Linked DNA regions of Macaca fascicularis. The protein of the gene in region 1 interacts with the protein of each later gene in a biochemical or structural test. Links are inferred from orthologs where the notes say so. Each region holds a gene or a part of one and is shown in the gene's direction. Other genes may lie near its edges. The genes, in order: MAPK3, PTPRB, DUSP3, SREBF2 and PTPRJ.

Region 1 (5,851 bases):
TGCAGCCGGGCAATATGGCCTTGAGCAAGTCAGTTCTCTGCTCTGTGCCCCAAGGGGGAGGGCTAGACAGGATGGTCTCTATGGGAGTGTTGTCTTCTGACATCGGCAGTTCTGAGACATGACCCAGCTTCTGCCCACAGTCACTTCTTGCTAACAAATGGATGGTTCTTTCCTCTCTTTCCTCCTTCCCCAGACTGGAAGGGAGACAGGGAGAAAGCAAACTGTCAGCTGGGCGTGGTGGCTTATGCCTGTAATCCCAGCACTTTGGGAGGCTGAGGTGGGCAGATTACCTGAGGCCAGGAGTTGGAGACCAGCCTGGCCAACATGGTTAAACCCTATCTCTACTAAAAGTACAAAAAAATTAGCAGGGCATGGTGGCGCATGCCTGTAATCCCAGCTACTTGGGAGGCAGAGGCAAGAGAATCGCTTGAACCCAGGAGGCGGAGGTTGAGGTTGCAGTGAGCCAAGATCGTGCCACTGCCCTCCAGCCTGGGTGACAGCGTGAGACTCTGTCTCAAAACAAAACAAAAACAAAAAAACTGCCTTTCTTGAGGTCCTACTGCGTGTCAGGTACTATACATGCCCAATGCTTTTTTTTTTTTTTTTCTATTACACCTCCCAACTACCCTATGAGATAGGCTTTGCAGCTTCATTTCAAAGATGAGGGCAGGGTGCAATGGCTTACGTCTGTAGTTCCAACACTTTAGAGGCCAAGACCAGAGGATCAGTGGAGGCTGGGAGTTCAAGACCAGCCTGGGCAGCATAGTGAGACCCCATCTCTACAAAAAATTTAAAAATTATCCAGCTTTGGTGGTGCATGACTGTAGTCCCAGCTACTTGGGATGCTGAGGCAGGAGGATGGCTTGAGCACAGGAGTTCAAGGCTACAATGAGCTATGATTGTGCTACTGCACTCCAGCCTGGGGGACAGAACGCGACCCTGTCTCAAAAAAAAAAAAAAAAAAAATGAAGAAGCTGAGGCCCAGGAAACCTAAAATCAAGTGTTTCTGTTGCTGTCTCCTCCTCCCCTCCCCCAGATGGAAACTTGTCCTTCTTAGGACTTCTCACTCAGAGCCACACCCTAATCACCTGTGGACTTGCACCTTGCCCAGGGAGGGACAGCCTAGCCTTTGTTGTCCTCCCCTGATACTGCTTTCCTAGTTTGCTGTCCACTTCCTGTCTGGCTCTCCTTAGCAACTTGTGACACCTGTCACCTCTTCCCTACCCCACCCACCCACTCTCAGTCCCAGCCCTCCACCCAAGAGCGGGGATTTGTATTGCGGTGTCTGCAGCCCCCACCACAAACTGTGGACAATTGGAAATCTCTGTGCTCACCCCCATCTCGCTGTGTGGTCTGAAGCAAGTCACTGCGTCTCGCTGGGCCTCCCCAGCTCTAAAACAGCAGGGCTGGTCCACATATCCTCTGAAGACCCTTTCAAGGCAGATTCTTATTTTCTTTTTTTTCCTTTTTGAGATGGAGTCTCCCTCTGTCACCCAGGCTGGAGTGCAGTGGCTGGATCTCAGCTCACGGCAACCTCCACCTCCCAGGTTCAAGCTATTCTCCTGCCTCAGCCTTCCAAGTAGCTGGGACTACAGGCGCCCGCCACCACGCCCAGATAATTTTTGTATTTTCAGTAGAGACAGGGTTTTGCCCTGTTGGCCAGGCTGGCCTCGAACCCCTGACCTCAGGTCTTCAACCCATCTTGGCCTCCTGAAGTGCTGGGATTACAGGTGTGAGCCACTGCACCTGGCCTCAAGGCAGATTCTAAAAGACAGCCCTGACTTATTTTTCCAGAGACAAGCCAAACGGCATTTGTGGATTTATTTATTTATTTACGCATAAGCTTTGTTTTATCTTCAAATAGAAAAAGACATTTTACTCCTCCATCTTCTGAGGTATGGCCAAGCACTCTTCTTTGAGTGGGAGTGTGCTATTGGGAGTGTCTCCTCATTTTTCTTGCACAAACCATTCCCATAAGGCAGGCATTTATTTTTAAGCAAACATTTATTGCATGCCAGATGGTGTTCATACATTATCTCATTTAACTCCCTCAACAGCCATGTGACTCAGGCATTGATATTAGTAATAATAGTTCATGTTTGCCTAGCACTCACAACTTGCCTAGCACTGGGCTGACAGTTTTACATGCGCCATCTCATCTAGTCTTCACAACCACCCTCAAAAGAACCATTATTTCATGGCTCGCACCTGTAATTTCCAGCACTTTGGGAGGCCGAGGTGGAAGGAACACTTGAACCCATGAGTTCAAGACCTGCCTGGGCAACATAGCAATAGCCCGTCTCCACAAAAAGAAAACAAACAGGCCGGGCGCGGTGGCTCAAGCCTGTAATCCCAGCACTTTGGGAGGCCGAGATGGGCGGATCACGAGGTCAGGAGATCGAGACCATCCTGGCTAACACGGTGAAACCCCGTCTCTACTAAAAATACAAAAAACTTAGCCGGGCAAGGTGGCGGGCGCCTGTAGTCCCAGCTACTCGGGAGGCTGAGGCAGGAGAATGGCGTGAACCCGGGAGGCGGAGCTTGCAGTGATCTGAGATCCGGCCACTGCACTCCAGCCTGGGTGACAGAGCGAGACTCCGTCTCAAAAAAAATAAATAAATAAAATAAAAAGAAAACAAACAAACAAAAAACACATTATTTCCCCTACATACCAGATGAGAAAGTTGAGGCACAGACAGGTTGAGCTCCTAAAGCCAGTAAGTAGTAGAGAGGAGATTTCAGACTTCCATGGGTTAAGTCCAGAGTTGCTGCTCTTTTTGTAGTTTTCTTTTTTTAATTTATTTATTTATTTATTTTTGAAACAGAGTCTCACTCTATCATCCAGGCTGGAGTACAGTGACATGATCTCGGCTCACTACATCTGTCTCCCGGGTTCAAGTGATTCTCGTGTTGCAGCCTCCCGAGTAGCTGGGATTACAGGCACATGCCACTGTCCCCAGTTAATTTTGGTATTACCAGTAGAGACAGAGTTTTGCCATGTTGCCCAGGCTGGTGGTCTCAAACTCCTGGCCTCAAGCGATCCTCCCGCCTCAGCCTCCCAAAGTGCTGGGATTACAGGCGTGACCCACCACTCCTGGCCCAAGTTGCTGCTCTTAACTGTGAAGTTCTCCGGCCTCCCACAGTTTATTATTATCCCTGTTTCCCCGGTAGGGAAACTGAGGCCACAGAAGTGAAGCCCCTTGCTCAGGATCAGCAACGGTGACGCGACAGAGGCTCAGAGCCCTGCCGCTGGGTAACGGCAGCAGCTTGCCCAGCTGGTGGTGCAGGTTGGCAGATCTATTGAGTCCCAGGGGCCCTGGCTGGAGGAGATGTGCAGCCTCGCCTTCAGAGCCTGTTTTCCTTAACCAAGTGCCTCCCGCTGCCCCCTCCCCGGGGGTCTCCGGAACCATCCTCAGCTACATTGTGCAGGACCTGATGGAGACTGACCTGTACAAGTTGCTGAAAAGCCAGCAACTGAGCAATGACCACATCTGCTACTTCCTCTACCAGATCCTGCGGGGCCTCAAGTACATCCACTCCGCTAATGTGCTCCACCGGGATCTAAAGCCCTCCAACCTGCTCATCAACACCACCTGCGACCTTAAGGTCAGAGGGTTGGGCACCTGTCCCCTCCTCCCCCAGGGTCTGGGGCTTCCAGGTGACCAGTAGAAGCCTTGGGCAGGAGAACATTGCAAGCAAGGGGAACAGTGGAGGCAAAGACAAGGGGGCGTGACTGCTTAAGCTGCAGAGGCCTTGAGCACCGAGCTTAGCAGCTTGGTCTGATTCCAGATTTGCGATTTCGGCCTGGCCCGGATTGCCGATCCTGAGCATGACCACACCGGCTTCCTGACGGAGTATGTGGCTACACGCTGGTACCGGGCCCCAGAGATCATGCTGAACTCCAAGGTAGGAGGGGCTGCCCACTCCTGAAGGGAAGGGACCAGGTCCCAGGAAGCCCTGGAGCTACCTCCGAGCCAGATACCGACCCCCATGACACAGGAATTCCACCCTCTGGGCCTTGGGCTCTGCAAGGAAGCTGAGCATTGAGCCCTCCAGGCCTCTGCCTTCTGCCTGGTGTTGGATCTAACTTGGAGATGGTGGCTTGGTGTAGAAACAGGACCCTGTTGAGGCTGGCCCAGGAGCCCACCACTTCCTCCTCTCTCCCAGGGCTATACCAAGTCCATCGACATCTGGTCTGTGGGCTGCATTCTGGCTGAGATGCTCTCTAACCGGCCCATCTTCCCTGGCAAGCACTACCTGGATCAGCTCAACCACATTCTGGGTGAGGGAGGCCCGGCTGGCTGAGTGGGGGATGATTACCTTCTCCAAGGTGAGATTTCTCAAGAGTCCAAGTCAGGGATACCACCACGTGTGGGGCGCCTCCAGCATCTCATGGTATCTCAATGAGGTATAGATATTATCCCCATTGGATAGATGGGAAAAGCAAGTCTAAGTCCCACACCTAAGGAGGCACCAGACCTAGGATTTGAGCCTCGGTCTGCCTGAATCCAGCCCCCTTGCTCTGCACCACCATGCTAATGACTAGGAGGTAACTGAGGGATTGGCATGGGTTGCTGGGCTGGGGGTCTTGTTCTTGCCTTGTTGCCTGTTCTGTTCCCAGAAAGAAGGAGGTGATCATTTACCAAGTCACCTCCTTATCCACAGGCATCCTGGGCTCCCCATCCCAGGAGGACCTGAATTGTATCATCAACATGAAGGCCCGAAACTACCTACAGTCTCTGCCCTCCAAGACCAAGGTGGCTTGGGCCAAGCTTTTCCCCAAGTCAGACTCCAAAGGTTTGAGAGACATGAGGACGGGTGTGGGATAAACCCTGGGTGCCATGGAGGGTACGGGAGCCCAGCAGCAGCTGGAGGAGACAGGCAAAGTGATGCTTCTGGGAGCTTCTCCAGTCTTCCCTGTGACCCCTGACTCCTGCCCTTCTATAGCCCTTGACCTGCTGGACCGGATGTTAACCTTTAACCCCAATAAACGGATCACAGTGGAGGAAGCGCTGGCTCACCCCTACCTGGAGCAGTACTATGACCCGACGGATGAGGTGGGCCAGTCCCCAGCAGCAGTAGGGCCAGGGGCAGGGGGGTAAGTAGGCATCCCCCATGCCAGGCCTGAGCCTTGCTGTCTCTGCCACCCCAGCCAGTGGCCGAGGAGCCCTTCACCTTCGCCATGGAGCTGGATGACCTACCTAAGGAGCGGCTGAAGGAGCTCATCTTCCAGGAGACAGCACGCTTCCAGCCTGGGGCGCTAGAGGCCCCCTAACCCAGACAGACATCCCTGCACCCTGGGGCCTGGTGAGTGTCCCCATGGCCGGCACACAGATACGCTGATACTAAATACCTGTATCTATATCTATCTATATCTCTATCTGTATCTGTATCTATATCAATATCTATATCTGTATTTGTATGTGCCTCCATATAGCAGCAAGCTTACCCTGCACCCATGCTCGGTGTGTCTGGTGACAACAGAAGTGCCCGGGGGCTGGGTGCAGTGGCTCATGCCTGGAATCCCAGCACTTTGGGAGACTGAGACTGAGATGAGTGGATCACCTGAGGGTCAGGAGTTTGAGACCAGCCTGGCCAGCATGGCGAAATCCCATCTATACTAAAAATACAAAAATTAGCCAGGCACAGTGGGTCACTCTGGTAATCCCAGCACTTTGGGAGGCTGAGGCGAGTGGATCACCTGAAGTCAGGGGTTCGAGACCAGCCTGGCCAATGTGGTGAAACCCTGTCTCTACTAAAAATACTAAAATTAGCCGGGTGTGTAGGCATGCGCTTCTAGTCCCAGCTACTCAGGAGGCTGTGGTGGGAGGATTGCTTGAACCCGGGAGGC
Region 2 (5,883 bases), on another chromosome or scaffold:
AAAGCAAAGAGAGCCTGAGAAAGAGCATTTGAGGTGGAGAAAAGAGAACTCAGGCGAAATCAAGGCAGATGTCCTGTTCTGTTTCTACTGGCATCTTAAGCCTGCTGAGGAATCAGACAGCATCTGTGCCAGCAGTTTGCAAGGAGGCGGTTTCTAGCAGCACTTGACCTTGCCAAGAGGTAGCACAGAAGTCCAAAAGGGTTTGCAAAATTCTAACATGAAGCTTTTTGAAAAATGCTTTTGGCTTTTCCTATTGTTTCTGTTTCTCATATCACTGAATCCAACTTCCTCTTTCTGTTTGCTTTTCCCTTTCTTTCCCACCTGCTCTCTTCTCCTCACTGCATTTCCCTCCCTCATTCTCTTGCTCCTCGACTTTTCCAGTCCCAGCAGCTGTCACCAACCTGAGGATCACAGAGAACTCCACCAGGCACCTGTCCTTCCGCTGGACCGCCTCAGAGGGGGAGCTCAGCTGGTACAACATCTTTTTGTACAACCCAGATGGGAATCTCCAGGAGAGAGCTCAAGTTGACCCACAAGTCCAGAGCTTCTCTTTCCAGAACTTGCTACAAGGCCGAATGTACAAGATGGTGATTGTAACTCACAGTGGGGAGCTGTCTAATGAGTCTTTCATATTTGGTAGAACAGGTAAGACCAAGACCCAAGCAGTAATGAATCGTGGGGAATTGTCCCGGTATTCACTGGCTTTTCCTGGGTTGGTCCTTAGTTTCCTCTTCTATTCAGGATGTAGCTTTATATGACATTTGTGACTTTCAGGCTGTTTGACCCTAAATCGCACGTTTGATTACGTGTAACTAATTTGCGGCCAGTTTTTGCACTAGCTTCTGCTCTTTTGCCTCCACTTGTTTACTTCCTAGGGCTTGGTAAAAAAATGAATGTGGTTCCTCCTCTTGACATCAAACTGTACAAGAGGGCTGTAACCTATCATAGTTTAATTCAAGCCATACCCTGCAGCTTTCTAACAAGAAATAGATGGAGAGGAGAGCAGGAGCAGAGAAGGGCAACCACAAATATAGCAAACAGGCAGTGACTGCTGTGAATTAGAAACATAGCACTAGATGAAGTGAAAACACAGAGTTCCAGGAAAGTGAGAGACATCTCTCTGGGCTGCAAATAAAAAACAGAATCTACCCTTTTCCCATAATTTGAGTCCTTTATCTCCTATTCAAAAAAAATTTTTTTTTGAGACAAGTTCTCGCTGTGTTGCCCAGGCTGGAGTGCAGTGATGCTATCATGGCTCCCTGTAGCCTCGACCTCCTGGGTTCAAGTGATCCTCTTGCTTCAGCCTCCCAAGCAGCTGGGACGACAGACACATGACACCATGCATGGCAAACTTTTAATTTTTATTTTTTATAGAGATGGGGGCTTCCCTATATTGCCCAGGCTGGTCTTGAACTCCTTGGCTAAAGCAGTCCTCTGCCTCGACCTCCCAAAGTGCTGGAATTAGAGGCATGAGCCACCATGCCCAGCCTACCTATTCAATTCTTTTTTCTCATTTGACAATAGTTTTAGGTGCTCTTCTGTGCCAGGTACATGGCCCACTGCTGTAATATGACAGTCAAGGGCGCTGCCCTCAGAGAACTCTGGAATAGCGGGGAGGGAAGAGGACGGGGACAGATCATTAAAGGGAGATGATTTGGGAATGCCTTACATTCTATGAAAAAAATGATGTGTCATGATAGTGACTTGGCAGGACAAGCAACTACTTTAGATAGGAGAAGTCATTTCAGCAGAGAACTAAAGGTGAAGGGAGCCAGGTGGGAACATATTCCAAGGGCAGCCAACAGAAGTTCTGTTTGTCTTTTGAAAGGAGTGAAAAAGAGCTGCGATAAGCCTCAACCACAGATAGAATTGCCTACCCGTCATCATTTCCAAGGCAGCCCTTTGCACATCTTTCCTCACCTGCTCATTAATGCTTAGAAGTCCTCCAATGTGGCAACAGTCTTCATTCTCCAAAGAATAGCAAAGCTATTGGGATGGATGGCAGCATGACTAATCTATACAATGATAGGAGTGACTGTAAACACTTCTCTCCCTACATGAAGTTATACCAATACAGATTTTATAAGAAAGGGCACAAAAGAACTGAGAACCTAAAGGAGGGTAGAGAGGATGTAAAGAGACCCAGAGAGGGTTGCTGTGGGATGGTGGCTGCAATGACATAGGCCACACTGGGGAGGAGCTGGAACCTTGTATACACATTTTCTGGGCCTTTTTAAATAAGCTAAATGACAACGATTTATTCATCATTTATGAAGATTTCATTTTACATGCTTATCAGGGTGCATGTGGCAAGCATCTGGAAGTCACCACCTGTTTTGTTTTAATTTACACCGTATCTCTAGTCTATACGCCCTTAAAGTTAAATGGCCTGAAATGTAGGCAAGATCTGACTATAATATGTACAACTCACCCACATGCCCAACGTAGCATATACTCTCACCTGTGGGCCAGAATGCCTTTGTTTCTGTTTTGTTCTCATTAAGAATTTTTCTTGTTTAAGTCCCAGCCTCTGTGAGTCATCTCAGGGGGTCCAATCGGAACATGACAGACAGCCTTTGGTTCAGCTGGAGTCCAGCCTCTGGGGACTTTGACTTTTATGAACTGATTCTCTATAATCCCAATGGCACAAAGAAGGAAAACTGGAAAGACAAGGACCTGACGGAGTGGCGGTTTCACGGCCTTGTTCCCGGAAGGAAGTACACGCTGTGGGTGGTAACTCACAGTGGAGATCTCAGCAATAAAGTCACAGCGGAGAGCAGAACAGGTGAGAAGCTCAGGTGCCAGTGGCCAAGGGGTGGTGGGAAGTAGCTTCCAGAGACACATTTTGATTCTGATTTTAATGACAAGAGATAAAGCCAATAATGGTATACCCTTGCTAGCCCCTGAACTTGGGAAGGGACTGTGGTACAACAGATAAAGGACAAGGCTATGGTCCAAAAGAACTAAGTCCTTAGCTTAGCTCTATGAATCTGGTCAAGTCATTGAGCCTCTCTAGGCCTCAGTTTCCTTATCTGCAAAGTGGGGATAATCATATACATCATCACTGTGTGGCTATCACCAGTGCACCCTAACTGTTTTTATGTCATGGGCACACATAGATGTCTGTGTGTCACCCTGGGGTTAATCAACAAGGCTATCTGCAATTGGACATAATTGTCTGTGGGTGTCAGCTCTGCACCCCAAAATCTGATGGAATTAATACCTTCACACACTTGTAACCCATTCGGAGCACACTCATGCTCCACAGCACCATGGTAAGGAAGATCTGGCTATGAATATTTAAGAAAACATATATGAGGCTGGGCACCGTGGCTCACGCCTGTAATCCCAGTATTTTGGGAGGCCGAGGTGGGTGGATCACTTGAGGTCAGGAGTTCGAGAACAGCCTGGTCAACTAGAGGAAACCCTGTCTCTACTAAAAATACAAAAATTAGCCAGGCGTAGTGGTGGGCACCTGTAATCCCAGCTACTCGGGAGGCTGAAGTGCCTGTAATCCCAGCTACCTGGGAGATGGAGGTTGCAGTGAGCCAAGATCATGCCACTGCACTTCAGCCTGGGCGGCAAGAGCAAAACTCTGTCTCAAAAAAAAGAAAAAGAAAAAGAAAAAAAGGTACATAAAATGCTTGAGGACAGTGCCTTACACATAATAAACACTATTAATGAAAGCTCCTGCTACTATATCATCATATTATCTCTTCCTACAAGGTACATTAAAAGTGTGTCTGATGTTACTCAGCTATCTTTTTTGTATGTGTTATGGCATAGATGTGATTATGTGATTTTTCACTTTCTCCTATATTCAGCTCCAAGTCCTCCCAGTCTTATGTCATTTGCTGACATTGCAAACACATCCTTGGCCATCACGTGGAAGGGGCCCCCAGACTGGACAGACTACAATGACTTCGAGCTGCAGTGGTTGCCCAGAGATGCACTTACTGTCTTCAACCCCTACAACAACAGAAAATCAGAAGGACGCATTGTGTATGGTCTTCGTCCAGGGAGATCCTATCAATTCAGTGTCAAGACTGTCAGTGGTGATTCCTGGAAAACTTACAGCAAACCAATTTTTGGAACTGTGAGGACAAGTATGACATGTTTTGCTATTCTTGTTTCTCAAATGGAGTGAGGGGAAGTATATGTTCAACATCTTACTTAAATAGGGCTTGGATTAAATCCGTATTTTTACATGGGATTGGTCTGGATTTGAATTCAGGCAGAAGTCTATGTAGATTTGTTCATTCATTTAACATTAACAACAAGGGACAATAAAGAAAGAATCTCTCTCTGCCCTCATGGGGCTTACAATTAGGTAGGACGTACTATTTGTAACTAGACATTATATTTTGGGTATGATGAGGGAAGTAAATGGTACTATAGAGGCACTGGTTGGGTAATCTGACCCAATACAAGAGAACTTCTTGGAAAAGGAAACATCCAAATAGAAACCTAAAGAAAGAAATTTACCAGGTAGAGGCGGGGGAAGAAGTGGAGAATATTCCAGGTTGAGAGAATAAAATATTCCAAGATCAGAGAGGAGGGAGAGTACAAGATCTACTAACAGGGGAACAGAAAGAAGTTTATTTGGCCATAGCATAAAAGGTAAGGATTAAGGGAATCACATAATAAAATGTTTTGTATTCCATGGTAACTCTGAACTTTATTTTGGATCAACTGGAGCCACTCAATTTCAGCAGAGATATCATAATCATTATTTACACTTTAGAAAGTTACTCTGGGTACAGTGTAGAGAATAGACCGAAAGAGGCAAAACTAGAAGCAGAGGGATCATAGGACATACTGTTGTATGTCCCTGAGAGAAAAATACTTTGATGACGAAGCACATACCAGTTTCTTCCCAAAGGCATTTTGGGATAGATACTATCACCCTCAAAGAAAGACAGGTTTTCAGCTTAGGGACTTTAATCCAAATATTTGTGTTTCAATAATACCCAGTAGAAGTAGCTTCTGGGATCAGATCAGATAGTTAATGGTTGTTGATAAAATGCATAGTTGAAAGTTAGACATTTAAGCATTTTAATAAAGCCAGACATTTTTAATAAGCATTAATACTATAACAAGTATAACTTTTATGCCACATTGTATCCAAAGAGCAGTTATTTGTGTGTCAAAAGAAATATGTGAAAAAGAACTAAGAGTTTTAGTTTATGGCAAGCTCAGGCTGAGTTTTCAGTGGCTGACTGTGGGCTGTGTTCATGAAATCTGTTAAGCAGAGCACCCTGCACTGGTTACCAAACCCAGGGCAGGACTCTGAACACTTCTGCCCATTGCATCTGGTATTAGAGTCACCAGAGAAACATAACGCAAGCACTGGATGGAACAAAGCTTTGCTTACATAGGGAGGAGACAGAGTAAGATCAACCTCAACAGTATGCCTCAGTCCCCCATGGCCAGCTGCAGTGGTTGCCCAGAGATGCACTTGCTGTCTTCAACCCTGACAACAACAGAAAACAGAAGGGCACATTGTGTATGGTCTCTTCCAGCAGTCAGTGCAGGGCAGTTGGCTAAATGCACCACTCTCAGGTCACAGTAGAAGGACCCTGTCCTGTCTCCTCAGAGGACAACCGTAGCATTGGTGTTCACCATCTGCCATGTGACACACATGCGTAAGCAGAACAAAAGAGCATACATTGAGCTTGCAACAGGGAACGATACTCCCACACAAGGCAATGAGCCCAGCACAGGCTGTGTAGGCTCTCGATCTCTTGGTAAGAAAGTATCTTAAGCTCAAGGGCCATTTCTTACACAGCCAAACGGGGGTCGATAGACTATGCACATGACACTGCCTTTCCCAAAAGCCTTGCAGGTACTCAGTTTAAGAGCTCATATGACTCTGTTAGCGGC
Region 3 (6,400 bases), on another chromosome or scaffold:
TGGCCAGGGATGGGGTGGGGTGAGGGGTACAGAAATTCCAGCCTTGGTTACACATCTTGGGCTATCAGCTAAGTAGTCTCCACTGCAATAGCTTGCCTGAAGGTGCAAGACCACAAGTTTTGGGGGAGGAGAAAGTTGACCCTAATGATAATCTGATCCAATTCCTTTTGCAAATGAGGAAACTGAAGACCACAGCAGCAGCCATGTTACTCAAGAACCAAATTAGGCCGGGCACGGTGGCTCAAGCCTGTAATCCCAGCACTTTGGGAGGCCGAGACGGGTGGATCACAAGGTCAGGAGATCGAGACCATCCTGGCTAACACAGTGAAACCCCGTCTCTACTAAAAAATACAAAAAACTAGCCGGGCGAGCTGGCGGGCGCCTGTGGTCCCAGCTACTTGGGAGGCTGAGGCAGGAGAATGGCGTGAACCCGGGAGGCGGAGCTTGCAGTGAGCTGAGATCAGGCCACTGCACTCCAGCCTGGGCGACAGAGCGAGACTCCGTCTCAAAAAAAAAAAAAAAAAAAAAAAGAACCAAATTAGTGGCAGGGCTGGCTCAGGATGTGGGGTTCCTGAATTCAAGGCCAAATTTGCTCTTTGCAGGAAGGGAACTGCCAGTCTTTCATGGCAGTAGGGGAGGGCGGCTTTCCTCCAGTACAGACTATCTTTTGTACTTAGTGGGAGTTCAGGAAATGCTGAGTGGCTTATGGTGGGCTGGCATCTGCTCCAGGAAGGGCTGCAGGAGTCTGATTGATCTCCACCCCAGCACAGGGTGTAGCACCCACTGGGTGCTCAACGCATTTGTTGATGAAGGACCAACACTTATTGAGTGCTCGCCATGCAGTGCTGGGTGCCTTCCTTGAATGTCACATTTAACTCTTCCAGCAATCACCTGGGCGCTTGATTCTGTCAAGCGCCCGGGTGATGCCTCCACAGCAGGGAGCCGCTCACGAGCCGAACCCCGCGGTCCCTGTAATCCTGAAAGACTGAAGGAACCTCTAGGTGTACCCCCGCCACAGAAACGTTTATTGGGCCCTGCATTTAATTCAGGGAAGGAAGTTACCGCGCTTCCCAGTTTACAAAGATACACAAACGGCCTGGACCGGGATGGGGCGAGGATTCCCGAGACTCGAGGGCGGTGGCGTCTCCCCCCGGGGACGCGCCCAGGAGTGGCGCGCTGGGCCCCCGCGTCACGGCGCCCGCGCTCCTCAGCTCCCGGAGCCCTGCGGGCCCGCCCCTGGGGCGGGACTGGGCGGCTCCCGGAGCGAGCCCCCGCCCAGCTGACCCGCCGCTCTCCGCCTCGCTTGCTCCTGCCGGGCTTGCTGGGCCCCGCCGCCGCCATGTCCGGCTCGTTCGAGCTCTCGGTGCAGGATCTCAACGACCTGCTCTCGGACGGCAGCGGCTGCTACAGCCTCCCGAGCCAACCCTGCAACGAGGTCACCCCGCGGATCTACGTGGGCAACGCGTGAGTCCCCCCAGTGAGCCCGGCCCCGCCGTCCCTCTCGGGACGCCCCGCCCACTCGAGGCCGGGGTCGGGGTGTCGCGAGTCTTGGGTTGGGGGAGCCCGGGCGCGATCGCCCCTCCGGGAGCCACAGCGGGGGCTTGGGAGGTGGCTGGAGTCGACGCCTACCCCAGCGCGTGGGGCCAAGGAACTGGAACCCTGCCTGGCCGGGCGCGGCCATTCCCCGTCGCGGGGTGCACGGAGCCCGGGGGGCGCCTGCCTGGGTCCTCAGCCGCCACCCCCTTGGGGCTTGGCCTTGGGCGGGGTCGGGGCTACCATGTTCACTTAACAGGTGGCCCTCGGTCGCCCGGCCGGTCTCCTGCCAGCGCGTCATGTGACAGCTGCCTGGTTCTGCAGTGAGGTCACCGCGGAATGTCTGCCTTCGCCGCCATGGCAACGGGCCGACGTCACAATTCGGGCATGGAATTTTCCTGGCCCGGCAGTCCCGGATCAGGGAACCTAAACACCCCAAACGAGCGAGTCCGGGGAGCTGGGCCGGGATTTCCAGGCCCCCACCTTCCAGATGTGGTTTGATTTACAGGAGATTCTAGAACGGTCCACTGATAATCCCCCTAAGGACCTGAGCCACTACCTAGAAAAGGCTCTTGACCTTTCACTCCCAGGCTCTGTCACCCTGGCTGGAGGGCGCGATCTCGGCTCACTGCAACCTCTGCCTCCTGGGTTCAAGCAATTCTCCTGCCTCAGCCTCCCGAGTAGCTGGGATTACAGGTGCCCACCACCATGCCTGGCTAATTTTTGTATTTTTAGTAGAGACGGGGTTTTGCCATATTGGTCAGGCTGGTCTCTTGGCCAGGCTGGTCTCAAACTCCTGCCCGCGTCGGCCTCCAAAAGTGCTGGGATTACAGGCGTTAGCCACTGCGCCTGGCCAGTAAGAATTTTTTTTTAAATTTAAATTTTAAAATTTTTTATAGTAAGAATGTCTAATCAGCAGAAGAGAACCAGTGTTAGAATTCTGAGATGTGAAATAGGAGCCACAAGAAAGAATAGATTAGCATGCCTGTACAGCCTTGGAAAGGCTCAGGTTGGATTTTCATGAGACTCTGAGGACCCAGTTACCAAAATCCTAAGCTCCATGGCTCAGCCCAAGGATGGCATGTTGAAAATTCAAAACTAACCCTCCTCCCATTTTACAGAGGAGGAAATGGTGGCTCAGAGTGTGTGAGGGACTACAAGGACAGGGTCAATGTCTTGTTCATGTATGTATTTCCTGACCTCTGCTAGGACCTGCTGTTCAGCCTGCCAAGGACTGCCACAGAAATGGGGTTCATCGTGGAACTAGAAGGGGTCCATCAGGCCCTAGCCTCATGGGGACAGTTCTCATCCATTCCATCATTCATTCACCAGTCTGAGCGCCTACTTTATGTCAGGCACTGTACAATGTTCATTCATAGTAGAGATAGTAATAATGATAATGGTAAATTTTTTGAATATTGAATTATTAATAGTATTAGAGGCCTGGCGCGGTGGCTCACACCTGTGATCCCAGCACTTTGGGAGGCTGAGGCAGGCGGATCACCTGAGGTCAGCAGTTCAAGACCAGCCTGACCAACATGGTGAAACCCTGTCTCTAATGAAAATACAAAAATTAGCTGGGCGTGGTGGCCGACGCCTGTAGTCCCAGCTACTTGGGAGGCTGAGGGAGGAGAATCGTTTGAACCCGGGAGGTGAGGTTGCAGTGAGCCGAGATCGTGCCATTGCACTCCAGCCGGGCAACAAGAGTGAAACTCCATCTAAAAAAAAAAAAGTATTAGAGAAGGGAGATGAATGGGGGTGACTCTTCAAAGGATTTTTTTCTATCAGCCACTGCTTTACAGTCTTGTGCAGTGTCCTAAGCAGGAATAAACAGAGTCCCACAGTGTCAGCCAAAGGCTTCAGGAATTGCAAAGCTCTAGAGACACCCTTCCTCTTGCCCCAAGCAGCAAGCAGGCCTTGTTAGCCTCAGGAACGCCGCTTGCTTGGGCAGCTTGGTCATTCAGCTGTCATCACTTCCCAAGTGGAAACCAAGGTTGTGCACGTCTGGTGTAGCCAGAGTGGCAATTGCTGATGGCCCCTGTAGAAAATACATCCCTTGCCCTCTAAGCACATCTGACTTTGACTTGGCCAGGGGTGTGGAGGTTCCTCAACAGGAAGGATCAGTGAGCACCAAGCACCAAGAGGACTTGGGCTCCATCCCCTTAACAAAATCAGGGCTGCAGCCATGTCCTCACAAGGCAGAGACAGAGCCTGTGTGAGCCACATTTGCCAGGCCTTGGGGGTTTTGCAGCAGATGTGGGCATGAGAGGCAGAGTGAGGTGTAAGATAGAGCAGGGCTGGATGTCGGGAGAAAGGAGATCTTCCCCCAGCTCTGCCACCGGCAGCACATGGGGCCTGTGCTCATCCCTCTGCTCATCCTGTTGGCCCTGAGTTCAAGCTCTGTTAAGCGGGGATATTGCCATCCTTGTTCCTCACAGGGCTGCTCGCAGTAAGCAAACAAGATCACATAGGAGGTGACATTTTATAAAGTATAAACTGCCATTTGGGCTGGGATGTTTTGTGAGATGAAATAAAAGGGCCTTTTCACCATTCAAACCAATTATGATTTTTATTTTTATTTTATTTTATTTTATTTTATTTTTCAAGACAGAGTCTTACTCTGTCACCCAGGCTAGAGTGCAATAGCATAATCTCGGCTCACTGCAACCTCCAACTCCCGGGTTCAAGTGATTCTCTTGTCTCAGCCTCCCGAGTAGCTGGGATTACAGGCCTGTACCACCACACCTGGCTAATTTGTGTATTTTTAGTAGAAACGGGGTTTCACCATGTTGGCCAGGCTGGTCCCGAACTCCCGACCTCAGGTGATCCACATGCCTCGGCCTCCCAGAGTGCTGGGATTACAAGTGTGAGCCACTGCACCCAGCCTTAGATCAATTATTTTGTAACGTCCCATAGTTCTGTTGGGGCCACTTACTCCCCAAGTACTAAATCACCCAAAAGAGCTTTGGAAATGTAGCTAGTGGAAGGTGGTAGGTAGGATCCCTCTAGGGGGCAGGGAGGGGGCTGCCTGGCGCATGACAAATTTATTTTTCTACACTCATTCACCACTTATTTATTCAGCACCTACTATGTGGCAGGTACTATAGCAGGTGGTGGGGAAACAGACTTAAAGCAGACATGGTTCCTCTCTCAAGGAGCTCAAAGCCTGGATGTCTAAACACAGAAGCACAATCAAGCATTAGAATCGTAGTGCTCACTACCATGTCCGGCTCTGTCAACGGAATAGCCCATTTAATGCTCATAAGAACCTCAGGGAGAAGGCACTGTTATCCCCATTTTACAGAGAGGGAAACTGAGGCACAGAAAGGTTAAATGGCTTCTTAAGGTTGCCTGGCTAGTACCTGGGCTGGGTGCAGATCCAGTTAGTCTGGTTCCAGAGCCCATTTGTAACCAGTTGGCTATGTACACCCCCACCACAGCTTAGGGAGCATGGGGCCAAATGGAATGGAGGGGAGACAAACACTGCAGAGGGTGTGAAAGATGAGAGGGCACATTTCTCCAGAAAAGGTGGAAAAGAGCATTCCAGAGGGAACAGCATGGCTATGAAACCACCAGTCTATTTGGGGAAGCTGCTGGCAATTCGATATGGCCAGAGTCAGGGAGGAGGTCATAAGTTGAGGCAGGAGAAGCCGGCAGGGGCCAGAGCATGGAGGGGTTCCTTGCTTTGCCAAGAGGTTTAAATCCTCCTTCATCTTCCTCCCCCTGGGGCTGCCATTTGGTTGGTTAATCATCCCCACCATTGTCTCCCGTCCAGGTCTGTGGCTCAGGATATCCCCAAGCTGCAGAAACTAGGCATCACCCATGTTCTGAACGCGGCTGAGGGCAGGTCCTTCATGCACGTCAACACCAATGCCAACTTCTACAAGGACTCCGGCATCACATACCTGGGCATCAAGGCCAATGACACACAGGAGTTCAACCTCAGCGCTTACTTTGAAAGGGCTGCTGACTTCATCGACCAGGCTTTGGCTCAAAAGAATGGTAAGGGACCTCCCGCCAGGAAAAGATGGGAGGCAGCTTTGACTAGACTATCCCTCTGGAAAACAGGCCCACAACAGGTGTCTTCTTGGAAACCTCCTTGTTTCCCATCTTCTGGGGTGAATGACAGAGCTGTAGGTCTCTCTCTGCTCACCTGGCTGCCTGTCAAGTGGCCCCATGTGTCACAGGATGTGCAACTCATTCACACCGTGGCAGCCCCAGGGTCCTTGCATTTGATTGCACTTTGGCTGGAGGTTGGTTTCCAGTTGCTTACACATCCCCCATTCGAACAGCTGTAACGATGAGGAAGACGTGTTCATGTGTTCATGTGCATGGCAGGAAGTCCTGAGGTGAAAGAGCATAGGGGCTGGTTGATTCAGCAGTTCCGTGGTGGCATCTGGACCAGGCCCTTTCCCTTTCTCTCTTCTGCCACCTCAGTGTTGGGTGCTCCCGTCCTGGTCCCAAGATGGGATCTGGTCACCACATCCAAGCAGGACAAAGTACAGCAGATGAGACACTGCAGCTATCTCTTCCCACCTTTTCTCTCTCTCTCTCTCTCTCTTTTTTCTGAGACGGAGTCACACTCTTGTTGCCCAGGCTGGAGTGCAATGGCGCGATCTCGGCTCACCACAACCTCCACCTCCTGGGTTCAAGTGATTCTCCTGCCTCAGCCTCTTGAGTAGCTGGGATTACAGGCATGTGCCACCACGCCTGGCTAATTTTGTATTTGTAGTAGAGATGGGGTTTCACCATGTTGATCAGGCTGGTCTCGAACTCCTGACCTCAGATGATCCGCCCACCTCGGCCTCGGCCTCCCAAAGTGCTGGGATTATAGGCATGAGCCACCGCACCCAGCCACTCTCTCTTT
Region 4 (5,883 bases), on another chromosome or scaffold:
CTCTCCAGCCTCAGACAATTACTTGATTCATCAGTTTCCTGTTACTTTAGATTCATTTTGCCTGTTCTGGAATTATACAGAAACAGAATCATACAGTGTGTTCTCTTTTGTGGTAGAGCTCTATTTTAAAAGAAAATCTCTTCTACCTTTGTTCTTTGGCACATGTACTTTTCTCAGTTAGCAAGCAGGTGAATGTGCCAATGTTTGAGCAGCAGTTAGTGAATTATAGGCCTCTCAATTCCCATCTGGCCTTAGTCCTGAGTTAATAGACTTGAATTTAAACCTCATAACCATTTCTCAATATATATATGTATTTATAAAGTGCTGTAAAAACCTATGCAGTATTTATTCCAACCTCGAGGCCTTGTTTTGAAGGTCAAAGATGAGCCAGACTCTCCTCCTGTGGCACTGGGCATGGTAGACCGCTCACGGATTCTTCTGTGTGTCCTCACCTTCCTGTGCCTCTCCTTTAACCCCCTGACTTCCCTGCTGCAGTGGGGAGGGGCTCACGACTCTGACCAGCACCCACACTCAGGCTCTGGCCGCAGTGTCCTGTCATTTGAGTCAGGTAAGTGGCGGCCCCTTACACCACCTGGGCATGGCTGGACCACTATGGCAGGAGAAGGACCCTGTGTACAAACTTCTTGGCTTGGCTACCAGGTCCCAAAGGGGTTTTATAGTGGGCCCCCACCTGCTTGCTTCTGATAGGGACTGGCATAAGTTCCGTTTTGGAAGTAACAAGGCAAGCCCAAGTTCAGTCAGAATGAGCAAAACAAATCAGGGACCCACACTACTCTAAATACCCTGGCGTGGAGGGGTGGTACCTATTTGAAGGAGGATATGGAGTTTTTTACCTGAGGTTGCAAAACCAATGCCTTAACCCTTTCAAGCTAACAAAGATTTTTGTGGCACTCAGCTCCATAATGACAAGGGCTACAGTCATTAGCCCCGTTTAGATTATAGAATTATTCACCCTTTCTTCTGAAAATACGGTAGAAGACTCGTTCCTGTGATAGTGCTGGGGTCTGTCAGGTGCCTGGCTGTTCCGCAAGGCCTTTCCTGGCAGGCTCTGCTGAGATACTCCTTCTTAGGTTCTGGGGGCTGGTTTGACTGGATGATGCCTACTCTTCTCTTATGGCTGGTAAATGGTGTGATTGTCCTGAGCGTCTTTGTGAAGCTGCTGGTCCATGGGGAGCCAGTGATCCGGCCACACTCCCGCTCCTCGGTCACCTTCTGGAGGCACCGGAAACAGGCAGACCTGGATCTCGCCAGAGTGAGTTCTGTGTCCGCCCTTCCCCATCCTCCCCTAGACTTGACCAATAATTCAGCAACTCATGTCGAAGAAAGTCCTATGATAGATACTTGTGGTAACTGAAAGGAAAAAGGGACCCTGCTGCTGAACAGTCACAGGGCAGTGGAGAGGGCGCCTCTGCATAGATAATTAATTCCAGGGACATGAGATGATCTATGTCTCTGGTATGACAGAGGAATAATAAAGTTGGGTTCTGAGGGAGGGGTTCCAGGGCTTGAGCGGGGCTGCCAAGAGCAGGAAGGAAGGGCGGAGGTGGCCGAAGGACCCACCCAAAGGCATGAATAGACAGGCTATTTGGTGACTGGCAGGTTCCAGGGTATGTTAAGTGTAGGGTGTGTCACAGAGAGTTGAAGGCAAAGGCTGGTAGTGTGTCTAGGCCCAAATTGGAGAGGGCTTTCACTGGGAACTGATTTGGGGCTTTATTCCCAATTCTTTATAGAACCAGGGAAGGTTTTTGAGCAGGAAAACTAGCTGAAAGTTTTCATTTGAAATCAACAGGGAGTTTATGGAAAAAATTCTGGGGCAACTCACAGCATTGAGGAAGAGTTAAACATCCACATTTTAAGAGGAACAAGAACCAGAACACTCCTCAGCAGCAGTGAGCCATGGGCATGCCCTCCCCACCTCTGCAAGCTGCAGAGCCATTAGTGAGAATCTGATTGGCCATCCTGGATCTGTCAGCCTTGCTGGGGCTACGGGTCTCAGAATGTAGATGTGATTTTAAGAGGCCTGTTCCCTGAGCATAACATCCCAAGATGTATATCCTAGAGGCAGGTTCAAGTGTGTGTTTTATAAGCATCATTCTGGTGGCTGTGAAGGATAGGTAGAAGGGAGATGTGAAATGAATGGAACATGGAAACAAGTTAGGGTGCTCTTTTTTAAGTAGAGACAAGGTCTCACTATGTTGTCTGGCTGGTCCCAAACTCCTAGGCTCAAGTGATCCTCTCACCTTGACCTCCCAAAATGTTGGGATTATAGGCATGAGCCACCACACCTGGCTGAGTCAGGGGGCTCTATGAAATAGGCTGAGTAAGAGATGATGGCAAGGACCTGGAATTAAAAGGAAAAGTTTGAACTGAATAAATATTTGAAATGTAGTATTTGGAAGGGAAGTGATAGTGACATTGACTCAAGGGTAAGAGAGGCTCCAAAATGGAGTGGACTCCATCTAGGCCATGTTGCCTGGAAAAGCTGGAAGAGGCCTCTGTAGAGTGAGCAGTGATTGGGAGGCAGGCCATGGGGATGGAGGAGTGGCGGGGCCAGAGTATTTGAGAAGCTTGTCTGTCAGGAGAGGATTCTTAGGGAGAACTGGACTGGGGAGTCAGGAGGGGTGAGAGCCAAAGACTGGGACTTGGGAATAGCGCACCTTTGAGGGAAAGGCAGGGGAGGAGCCAGGGAACACCTGCCTCCTTTTGAATCTTCAAGTTGCAGGTACTTCTGACGGAAAAGATAGAGCCACCTTAGAGACTGTTGCTCTGAGGACATCTTTTCTTTTCCCTTATCCAGTCCTGTAATGATGTGGGAAACAAAACACAGGTAGTGTACCAGCTGCCCAATAGAGGAAAATAGGATAATTTACTTTAATTTCCTAAGACTGTATAGCCTGTCTTAGCCTGTCTTATAGTCTCCAACAGTGACAGAGAGAAGGCAAGCGTTCTTCAGTGCAGTGCCAAGACTCTCCACTAGACCCTCTCAGGTTGACAAAGATTAGTTCATCTGAATCCTAGAGTAGGGTAGTTTAGCTGTGAGTTTGCCTGAAACCATGGTTCTCAAACTTCAGCAGGCATGAAGCCGGGTACTGTGGCTCACACCTGTAAATCCCAGCTACTCGGGAGGCTGAGGTGTGGGTATTGCTTGAGCCCAGGAGTTCAAGACCAGCCCGGGCAACACAGCAAAACCCCCATCTCTAAAAATGAAAAGAAAAACACTTTAGCAGACATGGCATGAGAATCACCTAGAGGGTTGCAACACCAGAGGTTCTGATTCAGTAGCCCTGGGGTAAGGTCCAAGTGCTCGCATTTCTAACAAGCTCCTAAGAGCTGATGCTACTGGCCTCTGGGGGCCGCACTTTGAGACCCTGAAAGCCTAAAGGATCATGCAGTTCATCTAAATCTGTGTCACCTGTCTCATGTCTAAAAGATACTGCTGGCTGGGCGCGGTGGCTCACACCTGTAATCCCAACACTTTGGAAGGCTAAGGCAGGTAGATCACTTGAGGTCAGGAGTTCGAGACCAGCCTGACCAACATGGTGAAATCCCGTCTCTACTAAAAATACAAAAAAATAAAAAATAAATAAAGTGCCACTCTGAGGGAACTCTGACCAGCATTTGCTCAAAGAAGGAACACAGTACAATCTCAATCGAGTAAAAAGCCTGGAAGGAAATACCTCAGAATGTCAGCAGGGCTTCTTCCTGGGGAATGAGATTATAGGTGGTTTTATTTTACTTTCTTGTAGCTTTCTGAAGTTTCCCTTGTTTTTATGAGTATGCACTAATTCCTCTGATAATGGGGAGTGAAGGGAGTAGAAGTCTATATCAAAACAAAAAGCCAGAGCAAGGCCAGTGACCGTTAACACCTCTTGATACTTCGTAGGGAGATTTTGCAGCTGCTGCCGCCAACCTACAAACCTGCCTGGCAGTTTTGGGCCGAGCACTGCCCACCTCCCGCCTGGACCTGGCCTGCAGCCTCTCCTGGAACGTGATCCGCTACAGCCTGCAGAAGCTACGCCTGGTGCGCTGGCTGCTCAAGAAAGTCTTCCAGTGCCGGCGGGCCACGCCAGCCACTGAGGCAGGCTTTGAAGATGAAGCTAAGACCAGCGCCCGGGATGCGGCTCTGGCCTATCACCGGCTGCACCAGCTGCACATCACAGGTGACGGGGCGGCTGCTGCTGCCTGGCTTGCTGCAAGGCATATCATGCTACCTCTCCTCCTTAGCTTGATTTGCCAGTTCTGCACCCTAGCTGAAGTCCTTTTAATGCTGCTCTTTTAGAGTGGCTAGACCAAGCTTCTACCTGTTTCCACAGCTGTAAGGATGGCTCTTTGCTTTAGCTCATCAGTTCTCGGATGCACATGTTTTCACAGTAACATCACTATACTCAGGATGTGTCCTATAAACAGTGGCACATTGTAGATAAGTGGCAGTGTTTTTCTTTAGTGATACTTAAATTAATGGTGAGATTTAAAATTGCTGACATCTTAGAGTCAATGAAATATGATCATTTATTTCATTCATTAAGCTCCTGCTATAATAGAAAGGCAGAGAGGTCAGCAATGAATGACAGTTCAGTGTGAGTATGTTAGACTTTAGCAGAAGGAACATGTTTTCGTTGGGAGGGAGTGGGTACCTGTTTGGAGGGTTTCAAGAAAGGCTTCTAGGGAAGTAAGAGTCTTGGCTTTGCATGGAAGAATGCATAAGAGGTCACCAGCTCTGCAGGATATGAGCCTTCTGGGCAGAGGGATGTTCCCAAGGAGGAGCCCCACCTGGGATGGCTCTTGGGAATAAGTCTTCAGTGGTCCTAGAGGGAGCCAGGGCACAAAGGCAGTGCTCAGACCATGAAGGATTTGGATGCCAGGCTGGGGATCTTGTAGTGTATCAGTAGGATTCAGTGAAGAGCATTAGGAAAATAGTGATATGATCAGGTTTGTGTTTCTCAAGTTTAGAAGAGTCAGGCTGGGCATGGTAGCTGGCTCATGCCTGTAGTCCCAGCACTTTGGGAGGCCAAGGCGGGTGGATCACCTGAGGTCAGGGGTTCGAGACCAGCCTGGCCAACATGGCAAAACCCTGTCTCTACTAAAAATACAAAAATTAGCCCAAGTGTGGTGGCACGTACCTATAATCCCAGTTACTTGGGAGGCTAAGGCAAGAGAATCACTTGAACCCAAGAGGTGGAGGTTGTAGTGAGCCAAGATGGCACTACTGCATTCTAGCCTGGGCAGCAAGAGCAAAATTCCATCTCAAAAAGAAAGAAAAGGATAAAGACTGGCACAGCAGAAAAGGAGAAAGACTAGCACAGCAGTTCACGTCTGTAATCCTAGAACTTTGGGAGGTCAAGGAAGGAAGGTCGCTTGAGCCCAGGAGTTTCCCACCAGCCTGGAAAACACAGGGATACTGCATCTCTACAAAAAAATTCAAAAAATTAGCTGGTCTTTGTGGTGTGCACCTGTGGTTCCAGCTACTTGAGAGGCCAAGGTGGGAGGATCACTTGAGCCTGGGAGGTAGGTCGAGGCTGCAGTGAGCTGTGATCGTGCCACTGCGCATGCACACAGAGATGAACAGATAGAGGACGGGGAGTCAGGGGCAGAGGCTGTGTAAGAGGAGCAGTTTGGAGAGGTCTGAGGAGACACTGAGAGGCTGAGTGTTGGAGGAGCAAGGGCAGAGTTGAGGAGGGGAGATCGTTGCTGGGACACGCAGTAAGATGAGGGCCAGGAATAACAGTAGGATGTGGTAACTGGAAGGTGTTAGATGCCCTGGTAGCAGCAAGGAGCGTCAGCCAAAAGTGGAACAGAGCCAGGCCAGTGATGCAGGAGTGACCAGGAGATGAGACAGCGGGGTCAGTGTGCAACTTTAATATG
Region 5 (6,407 bases), on another chromosome or scaffold:
CATTTTACCCAGGAGAAAACTGAAGGGCGTGCAGGAGTTCACAGGGCTGTTTGCCGACCCAAGTCATGAATCTGTGGAGACCTGGGCCGGTCTTCAGGGTTTGTAGGGTCTGTAGGGTCTGTGAGGATCTGAGGCAGCCTGCAGACCTACTAGCATCTTCTTCTTTTCTTTTGTATAATTGGCAATCATCCGTGGCTACCTAATAGCATCTTTTTTTTTGAGATGGAGTTTCACTCTTGTGGCCCAGGCTGGAGTGCAATGGCGTGATCTCCGCTCACCGCAACCTCTGCCTCCTGGGTTCAAGTGATTCTCCTGCCTCAGCCTCCCAAGTAGCTGGGATTACAGGCATGCACCACCACGCCCAGCTCATTTTGTATTTTCAGTAGAGACAGGGTTTCTCCATGTTGGTGAGGCTGGTCTCGAACTGCCGACCTCAGGTGATCCGCCCGCCTTGGCCTCCCAAAGTGCTGGGATTACAGGTGTGAGCCACTGCGCCCAGCCCCCTGGTAGCATCTTAAATCAAGCTTTCCTTCCCTCTGGGTATCATGGACGTGAACACCTTTTATGTCTCTGGCTTAAGAGGGGAGGAGGCACGGAGGAACAAAAATCCTTGTAAATTATGATAATTACATAGTGTTTAAATGAAAGGTGGCAAGGTGTGTAAACCCATAGGTAAGGTTTCTTTTTTTTTTTTTTTTTGAGATGGAATCTCACTCTGTCACCCAGGCTGGAGTGCAGTGGCACAATCTTGGCTCACTGCAACCTCTGCCTCCCGGGTTCAAGCGATTCTCCTGCCTCAACCTCCCAAGTAGCTGAGATTACAGGCGCGCCATCACGCCCAGCTAATTTTTGTATTTTTAGTAGAGATGGGTTTTCCCCATGTTGGCCAGGCTAGTCTCGAACTCCTGACTTCAAATGATCTGCCTGCCCTGGCCTCTTAAAGTGCTGGGGTTACAGGCGTGGCCTGAGCCACCACGCCCAGCCTGTTTTTTTTTTTGAGACATGGTCTCACCTTATTCCCCAGGCTGGAGTGCAATGTCGCCATCTTGGTTCACTGCAGCCTAGGTTCAAGCCATCCTTGCATCGGCCTCCCGGGTAGCTTAGTCTACAGCCGTGTGCCACCACACCCGGCTAATTTTTGTATTTTTTGTAGAAACTGGGTTTCACTCTGTTGTTCAGGCTGGTTTCAAACGCCTGAGCTCAGGTGTTGCACTCACCTCGGCCTCCCAAAGTGCTGGGATTACAGGCGTGAGCCATCCTGCGGCTCGGCCAAGTTTCTTTATCCTTAGTGCTTCTCTGGGTGTGTCGTCTGGTGGGAGCCACGTAGACCCTGTACGTGAATGTGTGTTTCCATCTTGTAGATGGTAACCTGAGACCCAAGGGGTGTCTGGAGGTAGCGTTGGCCACCTGGTGGTCTGCACACAGAATCCAGCCTAGACTCATTATCCTGGCCTTTGAAGTCTCTCCCTGTATGAATCCCCCAGCCTCCCATTCCTGTTTCTCCCAAGGCCAAGCTTGAAGCATCTGCTGCCTCTTTTCTGCCAAGTTGGCCCCACCTCCTGAGACACTTCTCCCCTCTACTGGCCTGGTGAAACTCAACCCATCCTTCAAAGCCCAGCTCAGGTGTCACCTCTCTCCTGGTTGGAATTAACCTCTTCCTCCTTAGCACTCTCTGGTTTGGCCCTTTCTCTCGCGGCTTCTCCTGGGCAAGTGGCTTAGCCTCCCTGATCCTAGCGTCTTCCTCTGTGCATGGGCACAGGAGTAATATCTGCTGTGATTTTTAACTCCTGTCAGTTCATGGACCTCTTTAACAACGTGATGAAAGCTTCCAGAAGAGCTAACATATGTGGAGTCCCACGATGTGTCAGGCCAGGTATTTAGGACTTTACTAACCACTGTCCCGTCTAATCGTGAGTGCAGTGGACCTCTCTCTACACAGGTCCTAGTACGATCTTTATTTCACACGGGAGGAGAGGTGGGTGTGGGAGCGGCCAGAGAGGAGAAATGCGTCTCCAGAGTTCACAGAGCTGGTACTGCCAGCAGAGCCCGGTCCACCATATGCCACCGCTGGGGTTCTAATCCCTGGACTGGCCTCTACTGGGCTCTCTGCCTCCCTGGCCGGCGCTCGGGGTCTGGGGGACAGAACACAATGTACAGCGTGCCTCCTACAATTTCTGGGTTCACGCACCCCCAAGCCCACCCAGGGACAGGTCAAGCGCGCCTTCGCCGGGATGCTGTATACAATAAGGCTTGGCTGCGCTCTCAGCAGGGGTCTCGGTCAACCTCTGCCTACCCGAACCCGGCGCCGTGGACCGGGTGAGAGAAGGGGAGCCCGTCTTGAGGGGTGCCGGCTCGAGGCGCTAGAGCCACGGAGCCTGGTCCTGGGCTCGAAGTCCCAGGAATGTGGGAGGGCTGGGCGGAGGGGCGGGCGAGGCGGGGGCGCTTCCTCTGCCCGCGGGAGGAGAGCAGCGGCCGGCTCGGAGGGGGCGGGGGCAGCGGCGGGCGGCGGCGAGGGGCTGCGGAGCTCGGCAGCCGCCGGGCCGGCCGGGGCGGGAGGAAGCGATGAATATTCAGAGGGGGAGGGGAAGGGAGGGGGCCGAGCGCTCGCCGCGGCTCCCTGCAGCCCCAGCCGCATGACGCGCGGAGGAGGCAGCGGGAGCAGCCGCGGGAGCCGGGACCGGGGAGCCGCGCACTGGGGGTGGGCGCCGCTCGCTCCGCCCCGCGAAGCCCCTGCGCGCTCAGGGACGCGGCCCCCCCGCGGCAGCCGCGCCAGGCTCCGGCGTGTGGCCGCGGCCGCCGCCGCCGCTGCCATGTCCCCGGGGAAGCCCGGGGCGGGCGGAGCGGGGACGAGGCGGACCGGCTGGCGGAGGAGGAGGCGGAGGAGGCGGCAGGAGGCGGCGACGACGGTGCCCGGGCTCGGGCGCACGGCGGGGCCCGATTCGCGCGTCCCGGGCACGTTCCAGGGCGCGCGGGGCATGAAGCCGGCGGCGCGGGAGGCGCGGCTGCCTCCGCGCTCACCCGGGCTGCGCTGGGCGCTGCCGCTGCTGCTGCTGCTGCTGCTCCTGGGCCAGGTAAGCGCCGGGTGGGCTCGGGCGGGGGCCAGGAGGCTGGGGCGGGACTGGCATTGCCTGCACCTGCCTGGGAGTACCCCGCCTGGGGGGTTCCATGGAAGGGGGCGAGGGTCCGGATCCTCGGATCCCCCCTCTTGAAGGCGGCTTGCGGGGACCCCGGCCGGCCTCGCACGCCGGCGACCGAGCCCTTTTCCGGCTGCCCAGGATCAGGGGGAGGGAGGCGGGATCCGGGTTCCGCGGTGCCCGAGCCTCCCGGGGAAAGCCTCCGCGCGGGTTCCAGGCGGTCCCCGGCCCGGCTCTTCCCGGCGCTGGGCACATCTGGCCGGCACGGGCCCGGCTTGCCAGCCCGAGGCGGCCGGAGGGGGCGTGTTTGCGGAGGTCTGGGGACGCAGTGCCGGGCGGCCTGGCCGAGCCTTTGCCGACCGACCTCCGACCCGGCCTGCAGGGGCCCGAGGGGCGGCGGGGGCGCCAGGGCAGGGCCAGGAGCTGGGCAGTGGGGCCCTGGGCGAGGCACGGGACTCGGGGCCGAGGGCGCTGTTTCTGGGGAAAGTTCCCAGGCCGGGGAAAAGGTGGCCGAACGCTGGCTTTTCTCAAGGTAGCCGGCCCTTTTGGCGTCGTGCTTGATTTCATGGGTGTTTAATTCGTGCTTTGTGGGCGCCGGCTCCCCGTCCCCACCCCACCCCCGCCCTCTTGTCTTGCTTCACTTTTCGGATAATGCTGTCCCTGGCGTTTTGGTGACCGACCTTTCCCCTTCCTGGCATTTCCATAGGGGGTGAGGCAGGGCAGCTGAGGGGCATTCCCATTTCACAGATGGGGAACTGAGGAAGAGAAGTGAAAGAGCGGAGCACCCAGCCCGTGCCATGGGAGCTGAGCCAGCGGGCGCGTTCTCTCAGCCTCTGGAGCCTATCGGGGTTTGAACTCGCAGGGGAAGTGGCCTGGGGCTGCCCTGCTGTGCGTTTCTGCAAATGACCGTCTTGCTTGGTTTATACAGACACCATCTCTGAGGAAATGAGTTATTGACTGGGGATGGAACCTGGTTTCAGGGAAAACTTCTCCAGCTTGAATACAGGAGAGAGCAGAAGCATCTCCCTGGGGCAGAAATGCCGCCCAGCAGGCAGTAGGAGAAAGGGGCTTGGGCCTAGGGGCTGCGTGACCCTCGGCATCCAGGGGTCTCTCCTCGCAGTTTCCTCAGCAGGTTCTGCACAGGCTTTCCTGGGGGCCGGAAGGCAATGTGACCTCCTGCAGAGAACCTTGGAGTAGATGTCAGGAGACTGGCTCCAGGTCCAGGCCGCAGGGCTGGACTTCCTCTTCAGGCTCCTCTACCCTCAGTTAACAGCATCTGTAGAATGGGTGTAGCACCCCCTTCCCGATGGAATTGTTTGAGGGGCTTCCGCTGGCCAATGTCTAAAAGAGCTTTGTAAATATTAAGGGTTTCCAGATGGGATTCTCATTATTAAGGTACAGTGTGTGGGGGGGCTGTCTTCTCCCTGACCATGCAAGGAAATTCAGGGAAGCAGTGTCTGAAATTAAAAAAGCCTTGCATTTGAAGATTTCTTGTATCAAAGTTTATGCTAAAACAAACAAAAACCCCAAAAAACAAAAAACAGAAAACCTCCCAACTTAAAGCTTCATTTGTTTTTAAATATATATGTAATTTATTTTTTCGCTTCAGCAAAAAAAATTTTAAATTATAAATATAATTTTTTGTTTTGCTCCAGCCATACTGGTTGCTAGCTGTGCTTTCAATCAGCAAAAAGTTTCTTGGGTAAATTTATTGCTTGCTCAATCCTTCCTTGTATTTCATTAGCATATTGCCACTCTACACTTGTCCTGTATTTAAATATTTCCTTCCTCTATGGTTTGTTCTGTAGAACCTCAAAAGGACTCTCTTCTTTTTTTTTTTTTTTGGATACATTATGAAATAGGAAATCTAAAAGGCTCTCAGAAGAAGCATCTTCAAAATCCACATTCAGCAGTTCATTTTGATAATGGATATTTCAGGGAATCAGTGCCTTTTTGAGCTGGACCAGACTTTCAAGATAGCTGAAACCCCTCAGAGCTCTTAGATGAGGATATTGAGGTCCAGAGAAGACAGGGAGCAGGCAAAAGTCACCCAGCAAAGCATTAGAGAAGACAAGTTGGGAACCTGGGTCACCTGCCTGGGCCTTGTATTTTCAAAGTGCTGTTTTTTTTTTTCGTGTTTTCACTTTGATCTTACTTTTAATGATAGCGACATATCACTGTGTCTTCTCAAAACGGTGAGTGTGAATGGAATTTTTCAAAGTCGAATCAAATTTGAGATACTTCTGAAGTTTGTTTAGGAAACAAGAGTATGTGACTACCTTCCTAAAAGCCGACTGGTTTTCTGAGGCCTGGATTGTGTGTGTATGTGCTTGTGTGTGTGTTATAAAATGGAATCAACTCTACCAGGTTAAACAAATGGACAAGTCATGGAAAAGACACAGCTCTGTTTGGACATTAATAAGGGCGGATGTGGAAGCTGGAAAGCTGAGATGCTGGTAGGCTCAGTACTTCGCAGGCCCGGAAAAGCAGTTTTTGAACTGGCATCTCATTCCCCTTTTCTAAGACAGGAAGGACGGTCAGAAATGATTCCAACATGAGGACTTTGCTGGTTGCAGTGTCTGACTCCTCCCATTCTCATAGCAGTTTTGCACACTAGTTTTGGTTTGTGGGTATGTTTTAGGCAATGTGACAAAGCAGATTTCCTCCTGCTTCCTTCTCTTGAGAAATTTAATCCTGACAGGTTCTTTAAGAAATCAGCTTGATGTGGGCTGATTTTAAAAGAATAAATGAAAAAAAAGCTGGTGACTAATAGCTGTTTTATTGGTCTTGTAGTGTTTTGGTTTTGTTTTATCTTCACTTTCTTGTTTCCTAGTGAATAATAACTGGGTTTATTATCTATCATGGCTAATCCTTAAGCCTGATTCCTTACCTGTTCCATCCAGAGTACAAAATATGTTTTGACTCCTCTTTAAACTGCTTGTTAGATTCTCATATGAGTGACTTTAAATATTTTTGTTTTGCTTCAGAACAACGGGAAAACCAGATGATTATGTTTTGTTTGCAGACAGTTTACGAAAACAGAGCAAATTGGTTTATGGTTAGACGGTGACTTTGAGCTGACTTTAAGTTCGGCCCCAGGATAAAGATAACCGTGGAATACCCAAGCTTTCCTAAGCAGTGAGGATCCTGGCTTCCGAATGAGCAATTTTGGTCAGGAAAGGGGTTATTTAGCTCCTAAAAGTAATTTTTGCTTGGGGTTGGGGCTGAGGCAGAGTGGCTGAATGACCGTAGGCCTGGGTGTAGCCAGAGGAT

The links.
Region 2: of the proteins of MAPK3 (region 1) and PTPRB, one has a biochemical effect on the other in vitro, tested with the Homo sapiens proteins (2 studies listed by IntAct). The link is inferred for Macaca fascicularis from reciprocal best matches to the Homo sapiens genes MAPK3 and PTPRB.
Region 3: of the proteins of MAPK3 (region 1) and DUSP3, one has a biochemical effect on the other in vitro, tested with the Homo sapiens proteins (2 studies listed by BioGRID and IntAct). The link is inferred for Macaca fascicularis from reciprocal best matches to the Homo sapiens genes MAPK3 and DUSP3.
Region 4: of the proteins of MAPK3 (region 1) and SREBF2, one has a biochemical effect on the other in vitro, tested with the Homo sapiens proteins (2 studies listed by BioGRID). The link is inferred for Macaca fascicularis from reciprocal best matches to the Homo sapiens genes MAPK3 and SREBF2.
Region 5: of the proteins of MAPK3 (region 1) and PTPRJ, one has a biochemical effect on the other in vitro, tested with the Homo sapiens proteins (2 studies listed by IntAct, with this or other methods). The link is inferred for Macaca fascicularis from reciprocal best matches to the Homo sapiens genes MAPK3 and PTPRJ.

What each region holds. Positions count from the first base shown.
Region 1 is NC_088394.1:27,974,342-27,980,192, forward strand, and holds part of MAPK3 (mitogen-activated protein kinase 3), read left to right. Parts: intron 1-3,416; coding exon 3,417-3,606; intron 3,607-3,789; coding exon 3,790-3,906; intron 3,907-4,167; coding exon 4,168-4,282; intron 4,283-4,665; coding exon 4,666-4,797; intron 4,798-4,947; coding exon 4,948-5,057; intron 5,058-5,152; coding exon 5,153-5,275; 3' UTR 5,276-5,307; intron 5,308-5,851.
Region 2 is NC_088385.1:77,296,573-77,302,455, reverse strand, and holds part of PTPRB (receptor-type tyrosine-protein phosphatase beta), read left to right. Parts: intron 1-381; coding exon 382-645; intron 646-2,521; coding exon 2,522-2,785; intron 2,786-3,824; coding exon 3,825-4,106; intron 4,107-5,883. UniProt on the Homo sapiens protein: Plays an important role in blood vessel remodeling and angiogenesis. Not necessary for the initial formation of blood vessels, but is essential for their maintenance and remodeling. Can induce dephosphorylation of TEK/TIE2, CDH5/VE-cadherin and KDR/VEGFR-2.
Region 3 is NC_088390.1:64,812,202-64,818,601, reverse strand, and holds the start of DUSP3 (dual specificity protein phosphatase 3), read left to right. Parts: upstream 1-1,286; 5' UTR 1,287-1,339; coding exon 1,340-1,464; intron 1,465-5,308; coding exon 5,309-5,535; intron 5,536-6,400. UniProt on the Homo sapiens protein: Shows activity both for tyrosine-protein phosphate and serine-protein phosphate, but displays a strong preference toward phosphotyrosines. Specifically dephosphorylates and inactivates ERK1 and ERK2.
Region 4 is NC_088384.1:9,727,474-9,733,356, reverse strand, and holds part of SREBF2 (sterol regulatory element-binding protein 2), read left to right. Parts: intron 1-375; coding exon 376-568; intron 569-1,091; coding exon 1,092-1,273; intron 1,274-3,904; coding exon 3,905-4,181; intron 4,182-5,883.
Region 5 is NC_088388.1:17,852,560-17,858,966, reverse strand, and holds the start of PTPRJ (receptor-type tyrosine-protein phosphatase eta), read left to right. Parts: upstream 1-2,627; 5' UTR 2,628-2,633; coding exon 2,634-3,071; intron 3,072-6,407. UniProt on the Homo sapiens protein: Tyrosine phosphatase which dephosphorylates or contributes to the dephosphorylation of CTNND1, FLT3, PDGFRB, MET, KDR, LYN, SRC, MAPK1, MAPK3, EGFR, TJP1, OCLN, PIK3R1 and PIK3R2. Plays a role in cell adhesion, migration, proliferation and differentiation.